Drosophila melanogaster: one gene and its partners. The protein of the gene in region 1 interacts with the protein of each later gene in a pairwise test. Each region holds a gene or a part of one and is shown in the gene's direction. Other genes may lie near its edges.

Region 1 (7,724 bases):
AGTAAATGTTCACGTGTTTCGTAATTGACAAGAATAAAATTTAAATGTACGCATTTTAATGTCAACTCTGATCCTCCGCCACAATGTCCTGCTTGATGAGAAGCTCCTCCACGTAGCCGTCGATGGGGCAGCTTTTGGCGCAAGTGTAGACGGCCAGGACGCCCCAGTCGAGGTTTTCGTCCTCCAGAAGAGTCAGCGCTTGCGGCATAATCTGAAATTCGAACTGACGCTCTCCTCCGCAAGCAATGCAATTGGGCAGCTTGTTAAGTTGGTCCTCCACCGTTTTGACGGTATTCGTGATCCAGAGGGGCTGGCCTCCACGTTTGTAGCGCACGATCTGATCGGGTTCGGCTGCTGTTTGCTTTTTGAACTGACGAAAGGTCTTGTCATCGGCGGCCGCCGAGTTTCCGAAGTACTTGTCCATCTCCGCCTCGGAAACATTGCTCAAGTCGCCCGTCTTCCCGCTGGACTCCAGCTCCTGGAACTCCGCCAAGCGAGCCTCATCGTCCTTGTCCTCCTCGCCAGACTCCACGGGGTTGCTGTCCATTACAATCTCAAATTCTGGGAAAACGATTTGTGTTAAGGGCTTCTCAGTGGCTACTTCTGGTGCTCCGCAGTTTGGCTTGTGTTGTGGCCAGTGGGCCCTTTGATGCTCTGGTGAGCAGTAGTGGATTGCCTTGCATTTGCTGCAGGCGTGAGGAGCATGGCAACCGCAGGCGGCGCATAGTTTCTTTAGGCAGGGAACGGCGGGCTAAGAAAACATATTATGATGAGTATGTTCTGAAAATATGGCTGCTGTTCCTACCAGGGGTTGACCCACGTCGCTCGGCTCCTCCTCCGAAAAGAACTTATTTTTTCGCGGCAACTGTGACCTGAGGACTGTGAAATTGCTGGAAAGATGGGTAAGATTAGGTTGCAAGTTGGTTTTCAGAGCTAGAAGGGATTACCTTGCATTTTGGGCCTCCTGGCAGTCGGAATTCCGGCACAGGAACACATAGATGGACCGATGAAAGTTGTACTCGTCTTCGAAGGGAGCGTATAGCTGAGCCAGGAAGGATTTGGGTGCCCTGCACTTGCTGCACTGCAGCTGCGACGTGGGCGGCAAGGCCTCCAGTTCCAGCCATGCGGGCTGGCCTCCCAGCTTGCTGGGAAAGTAGCGGTTGCTCAGCCAGGCGCCATTGTCGCTCTTTTCCGCAAATCCCAAGTCAATCTCCATTTCTTTCAATCTCCGAAACGAAACTCGTGTTCAGTGTGACCGCAGCGGGAGCGCCAGAAAATACCTCTACAAATTCCGAAATAACGTTGTATAATAACTGATATTTTCGGGGAATCACACTTTTTGGGTGTTATAATTTAAAATTTAAATTAATTACATTCGTTTAATTTGTTGATTTCGGCAGTTCAATAAAATAAAATATTCTTTTCTTCATTGAATATTTGCGATTACTCTTATAAACATAAGGGGGAAACATAAGATTTTAATTTAATGACATTAATCTGGAAGAATAACAAATCTCATTATCCTGAGCCCTTAAAAATGGCAAGCGGTTCAAAATTATAGAGCGAGGATTAATCAGATAAGGCCCCTCTTCTACGCCACTGATAATAAAGCTTGCATGCCATGGATTTGGTATTTTCCGCGAGTTCCTCCATGGCGATTTCCCAGATTTTGGCCACTTCAGTATGCGGTTATTTCTCACGGTTAAAAGTTCTGCTCTCCGAGTTGATTAAACTGGCTAAAGTGATATTTTATTTACTGTTGTGATAAACGCGTGTGAAAAACAAAGACTTTCCATTGCCCGCGGACACAAACGATCACGAACCGAAGAGTGAACCGCTCAGAAACGGGGGGAAAACCAGTTTTCCCACGATTTGATGTGATTGTGAAAGCGCAACGAGATTTGTCAACGCAAACAAGCAAGAAGAAGAGCCCGTGGATAGCGTAATATTTGTTAATAATAACGGCTGCAAAAACAACAACATTGCGGAAGCAGAATCTCCGACTTGTCGCGTTTCCGTCGCAGCAGCGCTAAAAATAAACCCACCCACGCACCGCCCCCTCTCGAATCGCCAACCACCCACTCCCGCCCACCATCCACCTACCACCACCTTCCGCCCACACCCACGCACGAATTTGGAGAGGTGAACTTGTGTTGACTTTTCCAGCGCGCGGACTTTTCCGAAGAAAAATGCAAAAATGAGAGCCGAGCCACCAGCGGACCACTGGGAATTTGCGTAAGTCCAAGGCGGATGCTTCCTGGTTTCGAATTACAGGGTATCACGTGCGCTGCTGCGAGCTAGTGAACAAGAAGGCACCAGATGTTTGATGGAGTGCACATAGAGAAAAGTTTGTGTAGGAACTATTAGGTGTCCGGTACAGGGTATCTCCGCTTCGATGCCCCTGGCAGTGGCTCGCTTTCTGGCTGCCAAAGAACGAGCCGGGTGAGCTTTTATTTGCTAAATTTAGTGCCGCATTGCTGAAAATAAGAATGGGAGCACCCTGCCATCGGTTGCCGGTAGGCAGACTCATATATATGTATATGTATATGCATAATCGCCCCTGACGGCCAGTGTGTGGTTCGGTGGATCTTTGTCCAGGGCACATGGCCCGAAACTGTTGCATGGCCCATCCTCGTCCTGGCCAATCGATGCCTTCGATGCCGACTTCGACTTGGAGTGCTGCCTGAATCAATAAACGCCTCAAATCCCTGCCATATTGCGTCCATTGTAATGTCAGCACATAAATTCTCTGCCCATCGAGGGGCATTTTCACTCGGCTGCAGGCATTCGGTAGTGGTATGTACGCTATGTGTCCTGGCCAGGCAATAAATATTGAAAATTCAATTAGCAGACGGACGGGCAGCCGAAATGCTATGAATTTATCACCACCTGAGTGCGAATGTGCCTGTGGTACTCATAGTAAATAAGTAACTTCATTGCCATTCGGCCCACTCCACTTGCTCCACCTGCATGCTGGCTATTGATTTTAATCCGCCCTGCAATCATCTTGCTTCATTTGGCCGCTGAATTTATGGGTTCCCACGAAAGCTCCACTTTCTTCGGCCCGCTTTCCCATTTCCCCCACTTCACATTCCCATTCCCACCAACAATGTGTGCTGTTTCGGCGCTGGAAAACATTAATTAAAATTCACTGGACTGGGAAAGCTATCAGTTGCATGCATATTCAATTGATTCATTATTACAGGACATCATACATGTAATGCTCAGCTCATTAATCGGTTGACAGTGCGTTCCTTCGACTGACTGTTTAAATTCCCATTTCAATATTGTTGTTAACTAGTAGTATGTATGTACGTACATATGTACATATGCTTATGTACGACTTGAACCCAAGCAACTAAATAGGAAATTGTCAGTATGTGTAGCGTCGAAATTATTGCATAAGTAAATAAATTATAGAGGATGAGAAGGGAAGTCAGTTTATGTGGCTTGCATAAGTTTGTTTTGATATATTTGATAATTATACGCTTATCACTGCCAATGTTGTTCTCTCCGCACACCGCGTTTATTCGACTCCTCTTGTCACCACTTCGCCGTTTGCTCAGTTGCACTACACTTGTTTATCCACGCCCGCCTTGCTGCTCATTCGCATTCTGATTGGAGCGCCGAACGCCAAGTGAGTCACTCCCCAAGGTTGCTCAGCGTAGTGCCTCTCCGGTGTTCTCAGTATCGAATGCCAAAGGCCAATGGACGATCTCTGGCTCCACGATAGCCGATATCAATATCGAGTTAGCCAGTCAAGTGGCTCGGTTCTCCGGCTGGCGAGGGGGGAGATAAGGGCAAGCGATGCAATCGCGAGGCTTCTGGGTTCCTATCGAGCACTTGTGGGCTTTCCTTCGGGTCAGCGAGCAGATGATACCCAGTTGGGAGTAGTATTTGCCAGGTAAAGCTCATAGATAGTAAAGGGCTGGAGCTTGCTTTCCGGTTATCTATTATCATCACAACAAGTGAGCTCCATTATTGCGCTCACTTTATTTACTCTACTTATTTTCGCGTATATTAGGTAAGCCTGGAAATTGTACATGATTAGCATTTCTGACCTTATGACTCACCGAAGCAAAGCTACGAGCAGCCCCACATTTAGTTGATTTCTATACAATTCGCTATCTTTTATTTCAAAAATAAACCTTAGATTAGATACGCCTTTGCAAATAAACAAAGTATGCTGCAGAGTCTTCCTGGATCTCCACCTAGCAATCATAATAAAGGGCTTCCAGTTGGTTTGAAACCCCATAGATGGACTCTACTTAGTGTTTGGTCATGGTGATAGTTTTAGCTTTGTAATTTCTATTAACAAAAAAAAATTTGTATTTATTGTAAACGAAATCCCCTGAAACAGCTTTTCTCCCAGCCAATGAATCAGCTTCCACTGCATCGGGGAGCACAGTAGACGTAATCACAAGTGAGCTTTTTGTTGTCAACTGTTTTTGTCCGCGAGGGGCAAGTACTGGTTGCTTAGGTGCTCCGCTGGCTGGGAGGAAACTGATAAGGACTCGGGAATGCCACTATCGATGACGGGCCCCAATGGAGCCTATTGTTTGCTCTTATCTGTCCAGTTATTGTTACTCCATTCGAGCCCAGTTGGTTGTTTATTTGTTTGTTTGCTGCATGCCGCGACGGCGTGCGTCATGCGGGGAAGGATGTGATTCTGGTGATTCATGCCAGAGAAGTGCATCCCCACCCAACCCCTGGTGGAAAATCAATAGCCATGGTGGCGCGCTCTGGGCTCTCGAGATGTTCGCCGTAGTGTAACCTTGTGTTCTTGTTTTGCAGGAGCCGGAGGCGCCTTGAATGAGAGTCCTTAGCCCGAGATGTCGGATTTCGTGCCGCACGACCTCATCCCCGATCTGTGGGATGAGATTCTCCGGCGCCACTGGATGTTTCTCGAGACGGAGGAGAGCATAGAGAAGCTCGAGGAACGCAAGCAGCTGGAGGGTGAGTTCGCCGCCTTGTCCTTGTCCTAAATGGAAATGGAACTAATCAATCCGCGCTTACAGGCTGCCTGAAGGAGTTCCTCTGCGTGGTGCAGCACGATCGCAAGTTCTTTCTGCCGGAAACTGGGCATGTCCTGCGGAGGTCTGTGCTCGAGCTGCCCGACTTTTCGGCCCAGAACGCCATCGTAGCCTTCGAGACCATCAGCCAGTATGCCAACAATCTGTTTACGAAGCCATGGCGAAAGGAGTATCGAACTCTCAAGGTGGATATAGGATGATGACGTATACTAAATAGCCACTTCTAACTGAATAATCCTCCTTTCTGCAGACCTATTCGGGATGCTTTCAGCACGACATCCAATCCCGCCTGCTGGACGCCGAACAGCTCTTCCTGGCCATGGGCTATCGCCGGGCTGCCGAGGACACCTTCGTCCTCGAGGGTCCCATCTGTCCGGATCAGGTTACGAATGTTTCGCGCGACGCAATGGCCGCCTACGTGGAGTGCCAGATTATGAAGCACATCTACGCGGGAGTGACGGCAGCGGGATACGTCTGCACTTGGAAGGACATCCTACAGTTCCGCGAGCGTTACGTGGGTGGAACTTCCACGACCATCAAGGAGATGGTCAGGCAGCTGAGTGAGAAACGGGTACGAATGGAGCAGCCACCGATGCAGGAGAATACATATAGCAATGTGGTGAGTGCTGCTCCAACTGCCTGCGGCATGCGCAGCAACAACGTTGCCCATCATCCCAGCAGTTCCGGCACTTGTGCCCTGCATCCCAATGGGCTGAACGAGGCGGGTAAGTATCTGCCGCCTTACCCAGCGCCTCCGCCGCAGCAACCGCACCTGCCTGGTCCGCTGATGACGCATTCTCGCAGCCTGGATCACTACCAGGAACCGCAGGCCCATCTGCCTCACCGTCACTCCTTCGATCAGCAGCTCCAACAGCAGTGCCAGCTGCCGCACGTCTACGAGGCGCCCTATGACTGCTTAGATGGCCTGAGCATGGGCAGCAGTGCGTCCTACGCTGCCGTGACTGGAGCCTACAATGCACCGGGAAACCGCTATCCGCTGCCGTACAACATCTCCAGCCAGCTGAATGCCCCGTATGCGTCGCCCGCCGACTTCTATGGCAATGGACAGCACACCAACATGTACGCCACGCTGGGAAAGACGGGCCCAGCCCACAGCTGCGATTTGCACCGTCGCCAGCCGAACACTTCTGCTGCTGCCGCTGCTGCCTTGGCGGCTATGCAGCACCGTCAGAGCACCTATCCGCCGGATCACCACCTCATCGACTTTGACGAGCGAGCGCATCTGACCCAGCATGACTTTGGGACGCATGACTACGATCCGCAGTATGCCGAGCTGAGAGGTCAGGTGCAGCCTAGCATGCGGGGGAATCCGGTAGCCATGTATGCCACCTACGGGGGCTACGACCTGCCCACCACGCTACCGCAAGCGCCGCCGCCGACCGGCCAGGATATGTACATCTATGCGCGGCCGGTTCCGAAGAGCAGCCGTATGCGGGCTTTGGCCGAGGCGGGTGGCATTAATTCGACTGACAAACATCCGCGATCAGCGGAAAAGCAAGTAAGTTCTAACAACATCATCATACTTATATAATGGTTACATATCGTTGCCTACTCCTTTTAACAGAGCACCATGGACAATAATCGCAAGATGCACAAGGAATTGAAGGAGCGGAATAGTCGGACTGCACCGGCCAAGAGGTCCGGCACTGAACGTGATATACCCACCACCATTTCGGACTTGAACAGTTACGACTCGGCTAGTCTGGACGGATTTGTGGCCCTGGACAGTAGTAGCTCGCCGCCTCTCATGCCCAAAGTGCAGGAGGGTGTCGGCAGTTTCGAGTCCTGGAACTATGTATTCAAGAACCTCGAGCGATCGGGCTACACAAAGGACCTGGGTGACCGCGAGGACTTGCTGGTGCAGAGCTTGGACCTAGGCTCGCTGTCCATAACGAACGGCGGTGCAGCTCCTCCGGCGGAGAAGCGCCGTGAGGCCACGAATCCCACAAACGGAGAGAAGGCGCGAACGCTAGATAAAAAATCCGGTACGGGGCGACGCGAGGCTAAGGTGGTGCAAGCTCCTGCACCCAGTCCTCTGCCCAATAGCAGCAGTGCCGGCGTTAAGAAGGTCAAGTCCGCCTTGAAGACGGCCGTCGTGGACAATCGGGGAACCGGGTCAAGGCAACGCACAGGAGCTGTGCCCAAGCAGCCGCCGAATGTGTCTCCCCAGCTGATTGTGACCAGTCCGAACGAGTGGAGCTGCAGCTTCTGCACGTTCCTCAATCCGGACACGAAGCGCATCTGCGAGATGTGCTGCCGCAGCAAGGACTTCAACCTGGAGGCCGCATCGGCGGCTTCCTCCTCGGCGGCTGCAGCTGCGGCGTCAGCGGCCAGTGTGTCGCACGCATCCTCGACCTGCGTGTAGGATGCAGTGGATGCAACGGAACCCTCGTTAGTGATACAAACAGTGTATAGCTTCATATATTTTTTATACGACCAATGTAAGCCTGTGCGCGTGTCTCTAAGATCTAGTCTCGATCGAAGTCGTCGTTCGATGGCAGGCAGCCCTTTGTCATCCGCATTCGGCTCCTTGGATGAGCGGATGGCGCTGCAGACGGGATGGGTCTGCAGTCTGTACATACGAAGTATTCTAATTAGTTACCCCTACTCGTAAACACACGCTTTAATTAGTTTTAGATTGTTTCCCATTGTTAAGGGCGCTTCTGTTTC
Region 2 (5,507 bases), on another chromosome or scaffold:
TTTTCTCTCGACTTTATAACGCATATTCCATATTCTATTAAATTCCATAGTGACCGAAGCGTATAGTACGTAAAGAAAATTGATTAAATAATCAAGCAAATCCAACTGTGTGCGAAAGTATTATTGCATTGGCCAATAAATAAAGATTTACTGGGCACAGACTTACGAGGCTTTTATTTGTCAATGAGATTCAGTTTTAGGGGTCTTTAAAGATAACCGCCTGAGCGCAAATTTACTGAGAAATGCAAATATTAGGGAAACGGCATGAGTAATAAAATGGTTGAGTTTTCGGTTCGCCAACATAAAATTAATTTTTGGGCAGTTATTTTAGATTTGGATTTGCGTTTTTGTTAACTAGTGTAAGTTTAGCTGCGGATGCTGTAGCAAAACATTTTCGACACCTAACTAGACTTATACTATCATTCTGATCTATTATATTATACCAATGTGCGTTTTACATCTGTGTAGTTACAATACATTTGGGATAGTTTTTGATCTCCAATTTGAAACAAATAAATGCGTAAAATACAATGAATTCCTACAGATATCGTTGCAAAGACAGCACATAACGGTACATTTAGATGGCAGCAGTAAATGGATTCAAAATCATATGCAAACCTTACTGTGTAACTGTTTTCTTCATTTTTTTACAATATTTTTTAATATTAGACATTGATACTATATACGAATGTAGATATGTAAGTTGTGGAAGGCATCAGCATTTGTTTACTTCTAAAAACGCAGAAAACTGGGAATTTCAACAATGTCTGGTTGGATCCGGCTGCGTTATGACTGCACAATTTACAATGTCAAAGCCAAGCACTTAATAACCACACATATGCGGATGCCCAATGGTAAACTTCCATAAGTTTTTTTTAGACCTCAAATAAAAATAAAAGCACTCACCCTAAAATTCCCGAGTCAGTTTGGGTTGAACGGTGTGACCAGTCGACTGAAAGCGAAAAATGTACACTTCAAATTTTAAGCTGCAAACACTTGTCATGTAAGAGCTATTGTATATTTTGCCGAATAGGTTAAAGTTTTTGTATGCAACATAATATATTAGCAAAAGGACAATAGAAGAAATATATGCAACGTATAATAGTGATACATACATTGTAAAGTATCCGTTAATACACTGTTTCCACTTTTTAGGGCATTTCGATAATTACCGATAATTCTTCAAAAATATCCTGTAACGGCCTTACCTCAAATATTGATTTGTATTTTCTATTCTATTATTTAATATTTATCCTGTTAGCTTATGGTTGGCTTTTTCACATTTAAAGATCGATATGCTTGCGTTCGGCAATTTTCGCTTAGTGGATATAAAAGCGGAACGACTGGAATTTTTTCGCATATGAAACCTGTTATCCCACCGATCCCTATCTATATTTTAATATTTCAATATAAATAGTTTTGTTTCCGCGATAATTCAGCTAAAAAAAATTTTATCGATTGCATGCATTAAGTAACTGAAAAATTAACAACAAACTTTAATATAAAAAAAGCCCGGTACATGAGAATCATTTACTCAGAAACGCGTTTATGAAACGCTTGCAATTCCCAGCAATTATGCCTAACGCGTAGTTTAAATAACAATTGATTGCTACAGAAGCAGACAGCGCGAAAGACAATATTAAGTTTATAATTTAAATATAGCTTGAAGGCAGAGTTAAAAAAGGCAGATACTCAGCGCATAACGTGCAAATCGATTTGGCACTTTAATTTGCCGTTTATTTGTTTATAGTCTGTCAAAACAAACAGTTGTACATAAAAAAAGGAAATATAATCGCGCGCATGCAGCATTTCTGGTTAAAATAAACATTAATAAAGCAACGAATTGAATGGGACTCACGGACAACGATGAGGGATTGTAAATAGAGACATTGGTTAATGCCTGAAATGTACATATTTTTTTGTGTTGTGCACGATTTGATGCAAGAATAGTGTGTATTTTTAAACAAGACTCCGGCGCTGATACATTCATACATAGCTCACGCGCACAGGACATACAGTCCTAACATAAAATTCTCGTTCGTTTTCACGCCATCGCATCTATTGTGTTACATAGCGCCCAAAAAACGAGAAGTAAAGAACTATAATCAGCGAAGTTTCGGTTCCTTGGCAAACAAACAGGTATGTATTCAGATTCGCAGGGATGCGTACATGTATATAACGCGTACATTCAACTGTTTACATCCTTATTACTAAATATAGAAGTAATTCCAATTGTGCAAATCGCTAGTGGAGGTGTACATATGTATTTATGCAAGCGTGCGTATGTATGTGGGTACATAAAACATGGCAAGTGAAAATTCGCATGGTCTTCTCCTCAGTTTCACACTGAGGACATTATTTATTTGGACGATTATCAAATGTAAATAAGCATATACCTCTGCACCTGTATGTACGCTCGTGTGTTTGTATGTATGTATGTATATACAGTGGTCAACTGCTAAAAAGAAAGCAAATAAAAACTTAGGAATAACGTAACTGTCATGCAAAAACAATACAAAAAAGTGGAAAAGGGACAATGCTATTTTTAAACTCATATATTTGGCTAAAATATTCTTTCTTTTAATCCATTATTAAATGAAATGCAAATATTAATGCAATGCAAAAAAAAGAAGTATCTTTTTTTTTCATATATCAAAAATCAAACAAAAGGAGTTCATATAATATATATACTTAATATGCAATACAATATTTTTAAGGGAAACCTACTAGAATTATGATGTCACGAGAAAGATTCGGTCAAATTACTTGATCCTTATTCTTAGTTCATTCAAGAGAGTCGAATTTATGATATATTCGAATTATTGTCTATTGACGATAGTTATAATTTATCCTGGAATTTACCAACACTCTATTGCAGGATATACAAGGATCTTTAAATGAGCGATAGCTTCGTAAACTCAGGAGCACAGTAAAGGCGCGAACTATATTTTGAGTACGATGAGCGGCGCTACACAGGAATTTTGTGTACGCTGGAACAGCCATTTGGGCAGCATTGGAGCTGCTTTTCCGCAGCTGCTAGCAGGCCAGAGATTCGTGGATGTAACACTCGCATGCGAAGGCCAACAGGTGCACTGCCATCGTCTGGTGTTGGCCGCTTGTTCCACCTACTTTGAGGCAATACTAGCGGAGCATCCTTGCAAGCACCCGGTCATCATATTGCCCAGGGAGATCAAGCTATGGGAGATCCAGGCGCTTGTGGACTTCATGTACAAGGGAGAGGTCAATGTCACGCAAGCCGGTCTTGGCCAGTTGCTTCGCTGTGCCGAACAACTGCAGATTCGCGGTCTATACGGCTCTGAGGCACCGATAAACTACAAGAAACTCCAGCAGGCGAGTCTCGAGGCTGCTAAGGATCCAGCTGCAACCACAGCGCGAAGCTTCAAGCATGTGGACAGCGCGGAAACGGACGATGCAGCCACTAATTCAACCACCTCAACAACAATGACCACCTCCTCCGCTCCACCGCTACCGGTTAACCATCAGCAACCCACAGTATTGAAGCGCCAGAATCCCGATGCTCGGCAGCAGCAGCAACAGCAGCAGCAGCAGCAGGTGCAGCAGCGACCCCAGATAAATGGCAGTAATGCTCAACAGCCATCTAAGGCCACCTCTACGAACGTTTTGGGCAGCCACTCGAATGCACCAACCGAGGATGACTCCGGCGACGAGGTGCCGAACAATTGGAATGCCTACGGGGAGCAATTCGATGATTGCAATATATCTGCGCAAGCCGTTGACAACAAAATGAATGTCCACCTATCCCTGCAGCAGGCGAGGTTTGTTTTTGCATTAATATGACAAGTATCTCTGGATAAATATATATATCTTTTCACAGGATGCAAATGCAGCTTCAGCAGCAGCAATACTTGGATTCAAATGTTGAGGACGACCACAACTATGTGGCCGCTCATGATGAAAACAATGACAGCAGTTTTGCGACAGGAGTGCCATGCGGATCCGGGCTATCCCTCAGCCTTGACACTGATCTCGATACATCGGCCAATACTTCCGGAGGACTGAGCCATAGCTCGATCGATGGTTATACTTCATATAAGCGCGTTCGACGTTCAGAAGCATCTCTAGCACAAGCGGCCAAATGTGTTTCGAAGGGCGAGACATTCCAAACTGTCAGCAATATGTTCAATATTCCTGTCTCAACCATTCGTTTCTATATGGCGCGAAAAGGAATTCTTCCGAAGCGGAAACGTGGACGTGGTGCTTCCCATGCCGGAAACATAATAATCACAACAAACTCAGGAAAACTCTCAACCGTCCCAGCGAGCATAACTCATCCCCCAGCCCATCCGCATATCCACACCAATCCCCTTCCTCACACGCAGTCTCAGCAAATGTCCATGGACAGCCTACATCTCAAGGCGGGCATCGCAAATACCAGTGGCAGCAATAGTCCGGCAACTGCAACGGCAACGTCTATGTCACCATCATTTGATATGGCCACAACAGGTGATATTGTGCCTTTTCACCTCCATAGCGATGCGGCGGCATTCAAACTCAACGATCAGAAGCTGCACATGATCTAACCACGCAATTTGCCAAGTTGTGCTGTACTAGTAGGGCGTGTATTAATAGAGAGGGATTTCCAAGCAGTAGCTGCTTTCTTTCATTTCGGGGTACGCATCGGCTCGTGTGGGATCTTTAGTCATAACATAGTCAACAAAATACAATTTATACATAGGTTTACTTAATTACGCTTTGGAGATGCCACAGTTTTATCCTTGGTTGAAAAACTCTTGCCGTTCAATCATTATTCATTTTACTTTGGCAATCATAAGAAATTACAGTAGATGTATGCTATCAACAAGGATTATGACTAAAAACTTGCGTAAAAATTTCAATTATGTTTCTTGTCGCCCCAGTACTTTAAGGAATTACTGTATTGTTAATAAGATAAATAAAATCGACCTGGAAACTTTTACTGGGTATTCGTGTGATTGCAAAGATAAGATGAAAATTTATAATAAACTCGAAGGTCGTAAAAGACATAATCATAATGCTAACAGCTTAAACTAAATAATAATGTAAAGTAATTATTATTGGTCAAATACATCCGATCTATTTTAAAACCATGTACTTTTCCTACAAGAATACGCAAATCTTCAATACTTGCTTACAATTACTCGGTTTGTTTGTTTGCTTATTTTTTTTGGTCATTATAACAATTGGCCATAAATGCAAGAATCCCAATAATAAATTACGTTGTGAAAGTATTATTAAATACATAAGTACTGTGTACGAGATGATTGGGCAATAAAAGTTTAAATGCATTCAAAGTAACAACAATTTTTTTTTTGCTAAATTTATTATTTGAAATTTGTACTGTTACTGTCAATCATTTTTTTTTTATATTTGTACATATGTATGTAGATTAGCACAGTGCAGGCGCAGAATGTTGAAGTGGAAACGGCGCTTTTTGAATACTTCTCATAGAATCTATTTCTTTTCATGTTCAATCAACGGTCACACTG
Region 3 (3,859 bases), on another chromosome or scaffold:
TGTTCATTTACAATACATTCTCGAGTACTCAAAAGTCCGTGGCTTTATATTTATATGTACTCTAAGACCAATAAAGAGATTTGCAAGACTTATTCTTAACCATAAGCCTATGCGTATATTTGCAAGCTATTCAGTACCAGGTTGGAATCTGCTACCTTCAAGTGCAGACAGTTCTTGAGCAAGCGCATCGCGTCCAGGTTGAGATCTGGATCTCGCAGAGCGAAGAGCTGGTTTAGGGTTTGCACAAGATTCTGCGGGTCTGCCAGTGCGAATATTAGACTTGTGTCACCTAGGGCTACCAGATTGGTCATTACACGCACGGCGTAGATTAGGCACAGCCGGTCGGCTGGCGATGCTAAGGTGGCTTCAAAGAAACGCACCAGGCATTCGGCCTGTTGAGCATCTAACTTGTGCTCCTGTGTCACTATTTCCAGTTGGTGCACTATGTACATGAAGTACTCGCTGGCAGGCTGGCCGTGGAGCTTCTCAGGCAGATTCTGGCCAATGTACCTTCGATCCTCGTCACTCACATGCTGCGGGCAGCGGGTGGCCACCAGGGAGAGGCAGATGGCCGCATCTTCTTGGCAGCCATTGGGCTCGATGTAGAGCCTCCACAGCTTGGGTACTATTTGCATTTGCAGCAATACGCTGCCGGCCTTGTCGCATGTGCCCAGAACGTTGGCCAGTGTCCACAGGCAACTGCGCTTGAGGCGTTCGGCCTTGCCATCAAGGTAGGTGACCATGTAGCTGCCCGCCAAAGTGACAATCTTTTCGGAGACATGGGCCTCGCCCAAGGAAAGATTACACAAGCACTCCACGGCATCTGTCTGTCGTTGAATGTGAGGTCCTGAAAGTCAAGTCAACCTTTTTATATAAAACTAAAGCTAATGAGGGTGCAGTTGGTTACCAGTTAGCTCCTTAACCAGAACCTGAATGGCGCCAGGAATAGCTGCGAATGCATTGATGTTGTCATTGCTCTGGAGGAACCCCAGCGACAAGCGGCACAGATCCTCGGAGGTGGCGTGCTTGCGACGCTTGATCCTGCTGGCCATTCCAATGACGTCCTTGGTGCCCATCTCAAGAGCCGCCACTTCCTGCTTAACCTGTCCAAGTCCAATGCGCAATGAGTCTTTCGCCTTTATGCGGCACTCAACACGGTGATCCTTGGCATATGCACGAATCTTGTTTCGCAGAAAACTTCCCTCCCCAGTTGTCGTCACAAAGTCCATTTGTTTAAATTTCATGGAATCCTTAGCAAGTGAGCAATATTCCGATAATAATAACAGATTATCGATAACTATGAAAGGTTAACAGCACTTCACTCATCAGCTGTTAAAATTGTAAACAAAAAAGGTACGCACTTGTTTGTTTATATTTTATTTGGAGTAAGTAATGCTTATTTAATTTCAGGTCAATGGTGGTAATCTGAGCCCGGAATCGATGGATAAACATATTCAGTGGCACCCAGGAACCCGATTTTTCATATGTGAATTTATTTTTATACTGGCAAAGAAGTTCGGCGAGGAGATTCATTTCCTTTTTGTGCCTTTTTAATTTAATTTTTCTATGATTTCCACGGAAAAAGTCCAGTGCTCCTTCTGTCCAAAATTATTCACCACTAGCTAGGCGAAAATGTGAAAAAACTATACGAAGATAAATGTTTGTTTTTCCAAAGAAATTTATTTCAATTTTATATTCTTCAACAGGTAAAGGATATCGATATCCGATAAGAATTTTCCCATCAAAACTTGGGCTGACCACCACAGGGCGACCCTTGCAAGTTTGCGTTTATCTCAGCTGTTAAATATGGTAAACACACCTTAGTTTCAAAAATCATCATTTTGATAAATAATTTGAATTTCGAACATCGATAATAAATCGATTTAGCATATGGCCCAGAGAATAGGGTGCCCAGTGTACTGTGCACAATGTGAAGTTTAGCTTATTATTATTTTGAATTGTTCATCAAGGCAATCGCATTAATTTTCAATTAATTGGGATGTATGAAACGGATTCCTAAATTATAAAAGATTGCTTTTCCAGCTATAAGCTATTTAGTATATACATCAGGTAAGTAATATAGTCCTTCATAAAGTTCAGCCTAATAAGTATTGTTTATTACAGGGATAATGGCGGAAATATGCCGAGTTTGTATGGATATTTCTGGTAAACTCGTTAACATATTTGACGCCAGACGAAGAACCAGAGTTTCCATTGCCGAGATGATCGCGCAGTGCACCGGATTCGAGGTCAAACGTGGCGATTTGTTTTCGGAAATGATATGCCCACAGTGCTATGAGGACGTAAAGAGCGCGTATGGGATAAGGCAAACTTGTGAGGAAAGCCACCAGTTCTACTGCCGAGTTCGCGATGAAGGCATCGAGGATGCTTTATGCGCCTTGCTCGAAGAAGAAGACTGGGAGATTTCGGAAGACGAAGATGCGCGGATTGATTCTGCATCCGCTGCTGATGACGATGGGAAAAGCGACAGCAAGAAGGTAGCATTCGAATGTCGAGAATGCCACAAGAAATACCAGCGAAAGGGAACTTTTCTGAGGCACATGCGAACACACATGGACGGACAATCCTTCCCATGCCCCTACTGCAAGCGGAACTTTAGACTTAGAGTCACTCTCAAGGCGCACATGAAGACCCACAATGCAGCGAAACCCTACGAGTGTTCCCACTGCGCCAAGACCTTTGCGCAGCAGTCCACTCTGCAGTCGCATGAGCGAACTCACACTGGCGAACGACCATTCAAGTGTTCACAGTGCTCAAAAACCTTTATTAAATCATCCGATCTCCGGCGTCACATCCGCACACATGGCAGCGAGAGACCGTTCAAGTGCTCCAAGTGCACGAAAACATTTACGAGGAAGTTTCACCTTGATAACCATTTCCGTTCTCACACTGGTGAACGACCATTCAAGTGTTCCCACTGCCCCAAGGCCTTCGCTATGAAGCAGCACCTCAAGCAGCACAGCCGCCTGCACTTACCAGATCGTCCATTTCGCTGCTCCCACTGTCCCAAGACTTTTCGGCTGAGCAGCACTCTCAAGGAGCACAAGCTCGTACACAACGCTGAAAGAACATTTAAGTGTCCTCACTGTGCCAGTTTCTATAAGCAGAGAAAAACACTTGCTAGACATATCCTCGAGATACACAAGTGACCACTACTTTAAAAACACTTGGAAGACATATCTTCCATGTGCACTACTTTAAAATGGACAAAAATGATTTTGCTAGATGATAAAATAAGCTAACATATTCATAGGTATTGTAAGAATAAGGCATAAAATTGGTTGGTAATGAATATGCCTATTTTGATATGTTTTATGATGGAATAAAATGTTATTTATATTTGATTGAACCAAAACAAAATTAATTAATCGACTCCCTCTCACGCTGCCAACACTGGCCATTTCTCGCATATCCAACTACAGATGATGATCAGCTGTTTGTTGTTTATGTGGGAGCGGCCTGAGAAATTGTAACAAAAAAATTTCGGAAAAGCTGAAAAAATGAACAATGATAATCCGAATATAGTTTTCAATCCCCTGATAAGCTCCATCCAAAAAGTAGTGCTCTATGAGACACGAGCGGTAAGAAATCACCTCCAGCTGACCTTTTTTTGACTAATCACATATATCGCCATAATTTCAGCGCCTCTATTTGGTGGGCAGCAACAATCGGGAGACTCGGTTTCGCCTCCTGACCATAGACCGACTTGCCCACAACCGGCTGAGTATCGAGGAGAATGCCAACGAGTTTAACAGCCTGGAGATCCGACGTTTTGTCGCTTCCCTTTCGGGTTCGCCCAAGGTGACGTCCGCTTATGGCGTCCTTGGATTTGTGCGCT
Region 4 (3,630 bases), on another chromosome or scaffold:
TCGGATTCAGGCCGACGAAAAAACTGAGCAAATGGATTTTCCTGTGGTCAAGCTGAAAGCAGGGCAAAGGTGGACAATTAAATTATTATTGCCGCGATATTTAGTCGTGTAAACAACATTAATGTGTCGAAAATAATAACCACTACCATATTCTTTTAAAACTTTTACTTTTACTTAAACTGAAATCCTCTGTAATGTATGAAATTCTCCATATGTGCTTTCTTTTTAAGTGCACCTCATTTAGGAGCTGCTACCTTTAAGAAATTTTCCTTTCCATACCAATTTTCTTTTGGGTAGTGGCAACCAAGGAGCGGATCAATGTGTGTCAATGGGCCTGTTGCCTCCAATTGAATCCACCTGTCCGCTGGCGGAGTGCCGAGCTGCATGCCTGACATGCAGCAGAATATGCCAAGTCATTTAGATGGAATCGCTCACATTTTTAATGACAACTAATGCGAGTGCCCTGCACCACCACCACCAACAACATCACCATCAGCACCACCCTTCGCCAACCTAGTTTTTGGGCCCGGCTTAATCACATTTCCAGGAGCTCTCTTTCGGGCAAAAGTGTGTATGTCTAATGCGCAAAACTTTTAATTGAGTTTAAAATTGCATGAAGAAGGGACGAACCGAAGGTCCTCTGCCAATGGAAATCGGCAAGCGTAATTAAACGCGAGTGCGTGTGTACATATGTATATGCGCGCTGTTTTTGAAGTGTGTCGGTTTCAATCTCGGTAAATTGCCCATGAAATATTAACTCAACCATAATGAGACGCAATTTGCGTATCTTTCGCAGTTTTGCCAACGAAATTTGTGGCAGGCGTGTAAAATGCCACACATTTGTGCAAGACAAAGGTTGTACCATTTGAATTATAAATGCTGTGGTTTTATGTCTTTGACCTTTTTACCACCTGATCGCATCTGATGCACCTGTCCGCTCAAAATACAATGGCAAAAAAAAAAAAGGAAGCGCCATAATCCTGCTTATTCCGCGCTCAAAGGACACTTTCTGTGACCCAATTATGGCCATGAAATTGTGACACATTGAGGCCTCGCTGCATTCGCCCTCGTCTTTGTACATTCCCTATAATCCAGTGCGGAATGAAAAATGACTCAATTTGCAATGGCCGGCGCACAACAGCACACCTTATAGCGGAACACAATCCCCCCAATTGCCACATATAGTGACCCATCCCATCCCATTCCATCCAGCACCAGTGTCATTATTTTCATTTCCACCGCAGCCACAGCTGCTTAATAAGAAGTAATTCTACCTTCCACACGGTTAGTTAGTGGAAAATGTCTTGGCTTATGGGTGGAAATTCCCCCCCTTTTCTTCGCATCGACAAATGGCTTTTTGGTGGCATGGCACGAAAAAAAATCGAAGTGAAAATGTATGGATCGCATTTTCCGACTGCCAGATATCCGCTATTGAGATTCACAACATGGTGCACCATGCACCATGTCAAAAGTTGTTTAATTGGAATTCTCACTGGCGTGAACACTACGTGCATACGCGTTCAACACGATGCGTATAAAACAATTTACAAGCGGCAGAATCGATGTTTTATTGCCATGCTGGCGATTTGCAGTTCAAGTGCAGCGCGCAAAAACTTGAACTTTTGTCATAAAAGTTGGAATAGTTATACTGACCGATTGGTGAGTGGAAAAAAACGGCTTAGTGTTTCTGGTAAAAAAAAAAAAACAAAAATATTGTCTTATTGGCTTAGTATATATGCTCTGAGTACTGTGTGTACTGAGCAAGTGTATACGTACTATTGCAAAATTAGAATTTATGTTAATGCCGCTCTTCTTTATGCTACGCGACCAGCTCGCATTTCCAATTCAATGGAAGCGCATTTGGTTGAACATAAAAGACTGAACTCTGATTAGTTGCCAGTGAAACATTACCTCGAGTGGAAGCGGATTGACTTTAGATTTTCGTTTAGAATGGCCGATTTACTCAATGGAACCCTAATCATTTCGGAGGATCCTGTCCGCCTGCCACTCATCGGAAGTCCATGGCCATCGCTGACCATCGTTTCGCTCTATCTGCTGTTTGTCTTGAAGTTAGGCAGGAAGTTCATGGAGAACAGAAAGCCCTACGATCTCCGCAGAGTCATCAGGGCATACAACATTATGCAGATTGTCTACAACGGCGTTATTCTGATAGCGGTAGGTACATAGAACCCAGACGGTCATAAGTCACTACAGAATGCACCATTCTGCATAATCATTAATGTGACATAAAAATCAGATGATCTTATAAACTTAACTCAATGATCTTAATAAATCTTAAAATGATCTTAATAAATTAACATAGAGGCAACATAAAAATATAGACTGTGTTCCATACTTACCACATCCTTTGCTTCCAGGGTCTTCACTTTTTGTTCGTCCTGAAGGCCTACGACCTGCGATGCATCACCAAACTGCCGCTGGATCACGAGCTGAAGAGCCGAGAAAGATGGTTGACCTACTCGTACTTCTTCAACAAGTTCATGGATCTGCTGGAGACTGTGTTCTTTGTGCTGCGCAAGAAGGATCGCCAGATATCCTTCCTGCACGTCTTCCACCACCTGGTGATGTCCTTTGGCGGATACCTGCACATTACCTTCAACGGCTATGGAGGCACTCTGTTCCCATTATGCCTGCTCAATGTGGCGGTCCATGTGATCATGTACGCCTACTACTACCTGTCCTCCGTCAGCAAGGATGTGCAGACGAGTCGGTGGAAGAAGTACATCACCATTGTCCAGCTGGTCCAGTTCATCCTGGTGCTGGCGAACTTTAGCTACACCCTGATGCAGCCCGATTGCAATGCCTCCCGAACTGTGATATATACTGGCATGTTCATTTCCACGACCTTCATCCTGATGTTTGCCAACTTCTACATTCACAACTACATACTGAATGGAAGCAAACAGAAGAGCGCGTTGAAATCCGATTGAGGCCGCAAATCCTTTGAATGACGGTGACTGTGTGTTTCGCGATACCGACTAACTAATAAACTTGCATTGGAGCACTCAGCACCAAGACTCTACTGGGCACCGTATTCACAGCTATCTCAGCACTAGCCCTGGCCAAGTTACTCGCTAGTCTTTTAATATCTTGAAGTCACTTAGCATATCCACGAGTTGTGGTACTTGAAAATCAAAGCGTGGATAGAACGCTTCCCGAATTCCCATTTAAAATGCACACTACGGCATACGAATGTAAATGCTCCATTTAAAGAAACATTGTAACAATTTGTGCCACTTAAGGTCGAGAGCCTAATTTCGAGTTTGGATTAGTCACTATCAATCGCACAACTCGATTAGATTCGCCATGTTCGCTCCGATAGATCCTGTAAAGATACCCGTTGTAAGCAATCCATGGATAACCATGGGCACATTGATTGGCTATCTGCTGTTTGTGCTCAAGCTGGGCCCCAAAATCATGGAGCACCGAAAGCCCTTCCATTTGAATGGCGTCATCAGGATCTACAACATATTCCAGATCCTTTACAATGGTCTAATACTCGTTTTAGTAAGTATTTGAACTGGGGCTTCTGGACATCTGCAGGTTCTGATGGGAGGATGCTACTTTTACAGGGAGTTCACTTCCTGTTTGTCCTGAAAGCCTACCAAA

Evidence for each region.
Region 2: the proteins of tamo (region 1) and CG8924 interact in a two-hybrid assay, tested with the Drosophila melanogaster proteins (one large-scale study listed by BioGRID).
Region 3: the proteins of tamo (region 1) and Paris interact in a two-hybrid assay, tested with the Drosophila melanogaster proteins (one large-scale study listed by BioGRID).
Region 4: the proteins of tamo (region 1) and CG8534 interact in a two-hybrid assay, tested with the Drosophila melanogaster proteins (one large-scale study listed by BioGRID).

Annotation. Positions count from the first base shown.
Region 1 is NT_033778.4:24,127,508-24,135,231, reverse strand, and holds the start of tamo (tamo), read left to right. Parts: upstream 1-1,680; 5' UTR 1,681-2,235; intron 2,236-3,392; exon of another isoform or gene 3,393-3,637; intron 3,638-4,794; 5' UTR 4,795-4,832; coding exon 4,833-4,956; intron 4,957-5,018; coding exon 5,019-5,218; intron 5,219-5,283; coding exon 5,284-6,552; intron 6,553-6,618; coding exon 6,619-7,419; 3' UTR 7,420-7,724. Other genes in the region: Naa35 (N(alpha)-acetyltransferase 35), read left to right, coding at 1-5; Zfrp8 (zinc finger protein RP-8), read right to left, coding at 62-751, 806-890, 948-1,216. UniProt on the Drosophila melanogaster protein: Has an essential role during oogenesis and embryogenesis, perhaps in modulating the levels of nuclear import of additional proteins. Modulates the nuclear import of dorsal (dl), Dif and male specific lethal 1 (msl-1).
Region 2 is NC_004354.4:15,939,494-15,945,000, forward strand, and holds CG8924 (uncharacterized protein), read left to right. Parts: upstream 1-1,583; 5' UTR 1,584-2,139; intron 2,140-2,878; 5' UTR 2,879-2,958; coding exon 2,959-3,797; intron 3,798-3,856; coding exon 3,857-4,562; 3' UTR 4,563-4,956; downstream 4,957-5,507.
Region 3 is NT_033779.5:4,461,717-4,465,575, forward strand, and holds Paris (parkin interacting substrate), read left to right. Parts: upstream 1-1,894; 5' UTR 1,895-2,070; intron 2,071-2,124; 5' UTR 2,125-2,129; coding exon 2,130-3,170; 3' UTR 3,171-3,359; downstream 3,360-3,859. Other genes in the region: CG15443 (uncharacterized protein), read right to left, coding at 108-847, 908-1,244; FIG4 phosphoinositide 5-phosphatase, read left to right, coding at 3,522-3,602, 3,664-3,859.
Region 4 is NT_033777.3:9,810,855-9,814,484, forward strand, and holds CG8534 (uncharacterized protein), read left to right. Parts: upstream 1-1,892; 5' UTR 1,893-1,950; coding exon 1,951-2,175; intron 2,176-2,360; exon of another isoform or gene 2,361-2,378; coding exon 2,379-2,951; 3' UTR 2,952-3,085; downstream 3,086-3,630. Other genes in the region: eloF (elongase F), read left to right, coding at 3,328-3,528, 3,594-3,630.